Linked DNA regions of Nothobranchius furzeri. The protein of the gene in region 2 purifies or fractionates together with the protein of the main gene of each other region. This does not show direct contact. Links are inferred from orthologs where the notes say so. Each region holds a gene or a part of one and is shown on either strand. Other genes may lie near its edges. The genes, in order: AP-1 complex subunit beta-1 and RNA-binding protein MEX3B.

The links.
Region 1: the proteins of RNA-binding protein MEX3B (region 2) and AP-1 complex subunit beta-1 purify together in Homo sapiens (affinity purification with mass spectrometry; 4 studies listed by BioGRID and IntAct, with this or other methods). This does not show direct contact. The link is inferred for Nothobranchius furzeri from reciprocal best matches to the Homo sapiens genes MEX3C and AP2B1.

Annotation. Positions count from the first base shown.
Region 1 is NC_091750.1:66,903,136-66,907,393, reverse strand, and holds the end of AP-1 complex subunit beta-1, read right to left. Parts: intron 4,169-4,258; coding exon 4,039-4,168; intron 3,210-4,038; coding exon 3,125-3,209; intron 2,952-3,124; coding exon 2,865-2,951; intron 2,438-2,864; coding exon 2,283-2,437; intron 1,299-2,282; coding exon 1,224-1,298; 3' UTR 808-1,223; downstream 1-807. UniProt on the Homo sapiens protein: Component of the adaptor protein complex 2 (AP-2). Adaptor protein complexes function in protein transport via transport vesicles in different membrane traffic pathways.
Region 2 is NC_091757.1:48,918,048-48,922,543, forward strand, and holds the start of RNA-binding protein MEX3B, read right to left. Parts: upstream 2,826-4,496; 5' UTR 2,662-2,825; coding exon 2,028-2,661; intron 641-2,027; coding exon 402-640; intron 239-401; coding exon 193-238; intron 1-192. UniProt on the Homo sapiens protein: E3 ubiquitin ligase responsible for the post-transcriptional regulation of common HLA-A allotypes. Binds to the 3' UTR of HLA-A2 mRNA, and regulates its levels by promoting mRNA decay.

The DNA.
Region 1 (4,258 bases), on a different chromosome or scaffold from region 2:
AAGAGAATTATTGGTCCTGTGAGTTGCATTTTGGCCAATTTCAAAAAGTTTACACTGGCATGAATATTAAAAAAATAAAACATCAGCATTTAGAAGATAAAGGAATCATAACTGAAGCTACTGACACAATCAACATGTGGAGGTAGATGCAAATAAATAGGAATGATAAGTGAATAAAGCCATGAGAAAACAACTACAGTTGCAGTAAACAGGGCGATAAGACAGGGTTTTAAGTAAAATGGAGTGGAATGGGTGTTTCAACACAACAGCTGGCAATCAGTCATATTGGTCACTAGAAGCTGTTTAACTGGGTTCTGCAGATGTTTAGGATTTTCCTTTAGGAATAATCTAATATTTGTCTTTCATTTGCATTTATGTGCTTTTATATGCAATAATGAGTTAAATAACACTTGATGAAAGATGAAAAAAGCTGCAGCTACAACCAGCATGAAGAAGTGATTATTTTTTATGCATGCATCTCCGTTTCAAACGAAACACAAAAAGTAAACACCAAAATCTAAAATTTCACCAGAGTTACTTACAGCTCTTACGTCACTTGTTTTTTAAAAATGTCTGAATGTTTTCATGAATTATTCTTATACCGTTACAGAAAATAAAGGTACTGTTGGCAAATAAATGCAGCACATATTTGGGTAAATCTACTAAACATGCTGTGGGTTTAAATCATGACAGGGAATAAAAAAAACAGCGGTAGCTTCAGTTTGCAGACATCCTCACACAATAATGGCAAAAGGGAACACTGGCGTCTTTGTGGAGGTTCGGCTGAAGTAAAGCCAGTTTAAAAAATAAACTTTTAAAATAAAACAGATCACAAAACAAAGAAAATGGCTTCATTAACTGAAACTGTTTCGACATCACTCACAACATTAAGATACCTAGTTAAGAATGGAATGTTAGCAAGGTTTCACAGAGAAGTAAACACAAATAAGGAGTGTAATCAAAGCGATGGAGACTGTTTTTAACTGCCAGAAAAAGGGATAAAACTGTTTCAACTACAAATCACTTCCAATCAAACTGTATTGACTGATTTTTACCCTACAAGTATCTTGGGGGGTGTACATCAAATATTTTTGATCATTTATTATCTGCTTGGATTTTTTATTTATTTATTTTTTTTTTTTGCTGTGGCAATCAGCTGCAGATAAGAGAAAATGAAGAAACACTGAAGGTTGTTGCCAGGGTGAAGGAGAGTCTCGGTCAGGTCAGTTCTTCAGTATGGAGTCGTACATCTGGTAGACATACTGAGACACCTCAGGGGCCCGACACTTAAGGGACAGCTGTAAAAACAGAACAGGTGCTGTGTTTTATAAAAAAACCTCCACACACGTTTAAAAGGTTTTATTACTGGTAAAAATTATTGGTTTGTTTCTAATTTTATAAAACAAAAGCTGCAATATGGAGTATTCCTAGTTCAGGAATTATGTAAGATTTTTTAGAAATCCGTAAAGGCAATATGTTAGTTTTTGCTAAGCCCACTCCCCCGTCCCGTAGAGCTCCAAGCAATATGAACTGAGCTCCAGTCAGCATTAACCAACAGCCCTGGGCTACCACTTGCGTACAGACACAGAACGTGCTTGTGCGTTTGAGGACCTACTTTGGCTGACGCAGAGTTGGCTACCTTTCTCATGTACAAGTAAGTCTTTAAACTATAAATATATTAATGCACAACATGATATGAGCATAATAATAGCAAAACAATGTTTTCTAGCTGTTTGGTCAGCTTGAGGAGTGCATTTATGAACGAAAAGCGTTGCTTTTGGCCGTGAACAAGGAAGTAAAAACATGAATTAGTGCAATTCATTTGTCAGCCACTAGATGGTGCCATAAAAAAAAGAATAATCCGAAGTTCTCCTTTAAATGATCATAAAGGAAACTATTACTACATTCCAATGATCATATATCTGAGCTGTTTTCTGAATCTGTTCAAAAAGGTTTGTGAATAGCGGGTCTGACCACACAAGTAGACATTTATCTGTTGTAAGAAATTTAATGTTTTTCTTTTAGTAAGATTTACTTTGAGCTCTTTAAAGGGGATTGTTAATTGCAGCATTTAAAAAGCACACTTACTCAATACACACTATGAACACTTAAAATCTACCAGCCTTCAGATGTTTTCTTAAGAGTTTCAGAATCTGTTTTACAAGTGACGAGAGAAGTTTAGCAATATGATCATTTGGGTTAGCATCAACATCCTCAGTGCAGGTGGATTACGAACAAAAATACCCAGAATTCAACACAGCGTGACCTTTTCTACAACCCACCGTGTAATTGGGATTCCCAGGCTGAATGCGGAGCTCAGCCAAGATCCAGATGCCGTTGGTTAGCTTCAGGGACTGGTAGAGCATGTCCTGGCCTTCTACGTTTCTTTTAGCGATGGTGTAGATGTTGTTATTCTGCAGCTTCCCTGATACTGTGTCTGCAAGGCCAGAATCAACACCACTCCATGTTAGGAAAACGCCTCTTTGTATGACACTATGTTACAGGGAGGCAGTAATCGCTACAGCTACCAACGCTAACATGTAGATGAATGATAACAATCCTACTGCTAAAGACGCAGCTACGTCTATGTCAGGGTTTTAATAAACTCTGATTAGAACCTTCAGATTTCAGTAAAGTTTTTCAGCAGTGGCTCAGGGTTGCACAGATCAGCTGCAGGGAAAAATTTAGGGAAAGAATGTGAAGAAAGGTTAGTTACAAGCAAAAAGAAATAGAGGAATCCAAAGAGGCATGTGAGAACACACAAGAAGAGGTCATCTCTTTGATGGAGCTGGTAGAAGATGTGACAAATCAGGCATCAAAACCAGAGACAGCGACCGGGTGGAGGTTCTGAAGAAGTTGCCCACCTGCGTTTAGGTGACATTCTTTTATCTGGTACTGAAGCTCGTTCTCATTGGGGATGTCCTTCCAGGTAGCCAAGAACACCTGTCGCTCTGCAGAATTCGTAAACATAAACATTATTGGAATTTGGTTTTTAACATGACAAAAACTATGAATATAACTGATCTTCACAATTAGGCAATGAGATTCTTGTAATATAAAAAAAGACATTTACTACTAGACTGATATTTATTGTTGCTTCTGAATGTTCTGTTATCTAACATACCCATTTTTCCATCCTCAACGAAGAATATGTTGAGAGGGATGAGAACGCTGAAGTAGAACACGTCAATGTTGTTCTTCACTGCCACCTGTTCACAGAAAGGGCAGAAGCAGGTATTTAGACAGCACCAGACTGTTTTACAGTTTTAATGAAACCATAATAAAAGACAGCAGTGAAGAATCAAAGCTACTCTCTCACTAAACGCTGACATAGAACATATGATCAAAGTTGGCTCACATTTCTGTTACTTCCTGACCGAGGAGAGTTCCAAACACTCGTGATGATCCGGATTATTTTGAGAAATCACATTTCACCAGCAAGCACCATCTTACATTGGGGATCTTCTTAGTCCCTACACCCCCAGCAGGTCCCTGAGGTCCAGTGATCAAAGCCTACTGGTTGTGCAGCACCAGGCTAAAGACCAAAGGTGACAGATCTTTTGCTGCTGTGGCCCCCAGACTCTGGAACTCTCTCCCTTCTGAGCCTGAGATCAGTGGACTCAGTGGTCTCCTTTAAAAAGCAGCTGAAAACTAACCTGTTCAGGCTGGATTTGTGTGACCTGTTAATTCTTCATCACTACCTTCTCATTCAGGTCTTTTTACCAATTCTGCCTTTACTGGTTTCCATGGATGACCTTTCTTGTTATTTGTCGTCTCTTTCCCTTTCCTCACATTTTTTTTTATCTCAAATTTTCTTTCACTTTTCTCATTTTTTTAATCTTTTGTATTTTTTTAAGTACCTCGTGATTTTTATCTTGAGGCTCTCTAAAAGATTGTTTCTTCTTCAAAATTTGTGAGTATTTTCAGAGTCACACAATCATTGGCTCATAAGAGGAGACTGAGAACACTCAAAACGTTTTGAAGCCCTCACAAAAAAAAAAAAAACGCTTACTGCTCAGTTAGCTCTTGGTTCTGTACCTGTAGATTATTGAGAGGATCCATCTTCATTACAGGTCCGATGGTGTTCAGAGGAAGAGAGGCGTCGATACTTTGATTGGGCATCAGCGGAGTGTGAATAGGAAGAGGGCTGGTGGGGATCATCCCAAAACTACAGGAAAGAAATAAACCAAATGAGTGTGTCTCCAGCTGTGAGTTTCTGACTGAAATCAGAGCAGCAGGTAGGATTTTTTTGTCATTA
Region 2 (4,496 bases):
CTGCCGGCTGTTCTGGTCACTCACATGGCTAAAGAGCTCAAGACTAAACTCCTGTCTAACTCCATCCAGATCTTTGTAAAACCTTTAAGTCTAAAAATGAGGAGAGAAAAAACCCAAAACAAACAAAAAAAAAAAAGTAAAAATCAGCCCCAAAAGTCTCATCATCAGTTCAAAATAGACAAAAAGACTCACCTTTGGGACCCACAACCAATCCAACAACACGATAAGGCACCCGCACCTGTTGGGGTGGAAATAACACTTACACAAACCTTCCTTTTGAAATAAAATGCTTTGATGACAGTGTAGAACTGTGCAGTTGCCATAACAACAGCCCTTAATGTGATTCACTGTAAAAGAGCATCCAGGAATAACAACATGATTCATTCATGCAGCTTGCCAACCTGAATAGTCGTCTGTCCGGGTAGAGCAGGGGTCCCTAAAGTGTTCACGGCAGACAGAGGCCCAGTTTTGTTTCGAGACGCTCTGATAAGGGAGAAGTGATCAGCCGCAGAAAGGATCTCCCTCTTTGCCATGGCCACGTCTTCTTTACGTCCCGTCACGACAAAGACCGGCTGCTCCCCCCTCACTGGCGTCTTTATGTAGGTGTTCGTCTTGGCTCGAAGGGCCTTGATCTTACAGCCTGGTGGAGGGAAGATTTCAAAAAAGAAACAAGAAAAGGTTGAAGCATGTCTGATGCCACATTAGTGACACAGACATTTATTAATAACCAGTTGGACTCATCCAGACCAGCTATTTTTAATGACACTCATACTCTGAATTTTGCAAACAAAAGCAACATAACTACAGTGCAAGTGCATATTGGCTTGTTGTTTGTGCTGAAAACAAAGCTTCACACAGCTGCGGTCCAAAATTATCCAAGTCAAAAGGCCAAATAAAGGGTTTGGAGAAGAAATAAAGTGGATCAGAAGCCATTTGGCTAGCATTTAATCTTAGATTGCAGCACTTGAATATAAAGTGTGACCTTTAGCATTATCAAAGCATGCAGTTGATGTCTCTTTGAATCATTTTTTCACTACACATGCCGTTTTGAGTACAAAATGATATTTTTTTAAGTTCCGTATTTAAAAAAAACACTTGACAAGTGTGTTTTAACTCATTTGGTCTTTTGAGTAAAAAAGGTTGACAGTAGTGGAAATTTAAAAATTAAATTAACTTGATTTTTTTTATTTCAACTACAAAAACTCAAATGTTATGTTTTTTTCTTGAGTTTTGGTCATTTGAGAAAAGGCGAGCGCAGAAATGCCCCTGCATTAAAAAACCTCATGAATTGTTGGTGTTTTTTATCTCCTTTATATTCATTTCTGCTGCTCTTGTCTTTCCTCCAGACAACTTTTTAAAAAGTGGTATACTTTGCCATTTCTTTGTTTCCAACATGTAACCAACAGGGTGGTTTAATGTGCCTCTTTGTTTCAAACATAGTGCAATCAAACATTCAATCGTTTATTCCATTTACAAGTTGGTCATGTTGTGAATTAAATATTCCTTTTAGCAGTGGTCGAGAGTCCAACATCATTACCAGAGCCATTTCCTGTTGTTGTCAACACCCTCCCCCAACTGCTCTGAAACACTACATAACAACACTCTCCCTGCTCCATCCAGCCCGTGGAAACTTTGTGTGAAAGCCCAGATATGGATGTCTATTAAAGGGGACGGGTTCGGCTGACCTAATGAGAAGAAAATTAACCATAAGGAGTTGATCTGGAGGCTCCAGCTGATGTGGCACAGCAATGGTGACCAACAGTGCTCTTTATGTGCTACTGCGAGACAAAGACAACCCTGGTTTAGCACAAGGCACGGCTAGGGGATTCCTGACTGCCCTCACAGCAAAAAATTGAGATAACTGTCAAACAAACGGTGCTTAATAGAAGGGAGAATTTCAATTTTCGAACCTGTGATGATTTTATTGTGTTTACTTACCCCGACTTGACCCAATTCCGTCCACGCGCACGTTTAAAAGCTAGACGTTGGGTCACAAGTTAGCTAATTTCTTTTAGAAAAACGCTCACCTTGCCTGCCCACAATTTCGGCGACGTGCTCGGAGCTCGGCACGGCCACACACTCGGTTGTGTTGATACTCTTCCGCTGAGTCAGAAGCGAAGGCTCGGCCTCGTAACCCGCATCGCCGTAAACGCCGGATGGTAGCATCACCATGCTGCTAGCCGGAGGTAAGGCGCTGCCGGCGACCCCGCCATCGTCACGCTCCTCTCCGTTGTACAATAATACCGTATCGGTATGCGGAGGCTCCATTGCAGACGGCAACACGGAGCTACTTGGCCCCGAATGGAGGTGTGGATGGCGGTGGGCCTTCGCCAACAACGAACTCCCGGTGCAGCCCGGGGAATCGGCCGCTGCCTCTTCCAGCTCTTCTTCTTTCGTTTTGTTCGCTTCATCTCCCGAAGGTGGCTGATGCAGTGGCAAAGGCTTCAAGTCGAGGACCGTATCAAGGAGGCTGAAATGAGAAACCGACGGGCGCTGATGGTGGTGTGGGAATGAGATACTCTCGTCTGCCTGTTCGGTGGTTTGGCTTTGGGTGCAGTGGTGCTCCTCAAGGCCCATACCGGCGAAAGCGTGCACTAGCGGCGGTGGGACCTCGGACTCTCCCTCATCGGCCTCCAGCAAAGATGTGCTACTAGGCATCATGCAAAAATGTACAAAATATGGCAACTAAACTGAAACTGGTATGAGTCGCGAATGGAATTTGTTTCGGTTAATAAAAAATAAAATAAGCGACCAGCGCCTGAAATGTGTGGCTTTTGTTTTGTCTTTTCAGCTCTCCATGCAGCCCTCCCCTACACTGTAATCTCGTTCCTGATCACGCGAGACTTCGTTTTAAGGTCAGTATGGTCATCGGTTTCTGCGACTGGAGTGTGGTGCGTTTGACGATTAGTCTATATTTTTTTGTAATTCACACAATCTAATCTCGTTATTTTGTATCTGGTAAAATTACTGTATGTAAATATATATCATAGATATTATACAAATACATGAGCAAAAACGAATGAAAGGTTATGAAAAGCCATCAGAAACAACATTGAAATAAAAGTGATCAAAAGCAATTAACAATGTATAATTATTTAAGGGCATATAATAAGATGCACGATGATCCACAAAAAAAACAAAGAGTTAACCCCGTTAAGCCTACTTAACTATGAAAAAAATAATAAATTCTTCTTGCAGATTTTTTTTTATTTAGGTCATCACATATCACACATGCAAACACAGACAATAGATTAGCACTTGTTTGACATTCTGCCAGCTGTCATTTATATGATTTTCATTGATTGCCAATATTAGAAATAAGTGATTTCCTATATAAAAGATTGCTTACTTACTTACTTTCTTTCTTTCGTTCTTTCTTTCTTGCATCCGCTATGTTGCCACAAAATAGTTTTGTGTAGCTGATTTCATATGATGGTGTTCATCTGGACCATATTATAATTTAATCAAATGTTTACATAGTGTATCAAGAAATGGTGTTCCAATGGTGTGGATCATATCCCAAGTTTATAGAAAATGAAAATCTAGCAAAGAAAATCTAGTCTATTTCAACTTAAGTTTGAAAGCAAACCATATTTGTTTATTTTATTTTATTTAACATGTATTTTTCCAGATGAGTCGATTGAGAACTCAGTCATTTACGACGATGATCTGGCCAAGAGGCAGCAGCAGAAGAGACATAGTTAGCTGTACATCAAAGAAAAACAGATAAGATAAAAAAAATACAAGACAAAAATAAGATAAACAATTAGACATAAAGACGACAGACCATTCTCACTTACAATATGTACAAGCATTCAAAACAGACTTAAAACAGACTCATTTCAATTACCAATTATTGTTTTATTGTTGTTCATTTTTTTCCTGTTTACCAAGCAACAGGTAAGTTCTTTTATATGCAAAATGCCCCGACACATACAAAATGAGTATTTTTAAATTGTTTGTTGTCTGAATCTAACTTTTTTGTAACATATTATGTAAATATGTACAACAATTTTAAGTTAATACATGGAGTAACGCAATTCAGTTAACTGGCTTTGTATCAGCCACGTTGGAAATTGTTTTAAAAAAGGAAGCCGAGTTCTGCTTTCACGTCTTTGAGCGTAGACCACGTGATCTCCCCAGCACTCGTTACAGTCTGTAGCTGACCAATGGGAGCCTTTTAAAGGCGGGACTATTCACGAAGGACAGCCAATGCGGTGTCACGTTTATGATACGTTTCCTAGCATTAGTTGCATCCGGGTGTTGACTTTGGGGTGAGTCGGTAATTCAGAATTGAGGACAAAAATAATGTTTTAAGAGTCGTTTATGCTTGAATTAAGTTTAACATCATTCGTCACACATGTATAAAATATACGAGTATAATAACAGCATACATTTGTTGCGTAACACAAACGAGTTCCTGCCTTAAACACAATGATAGCTAGCTTGTTAGCTTTAAGCTAACTGTCTCGCTGATTTATGCTTTGTCGTTATTT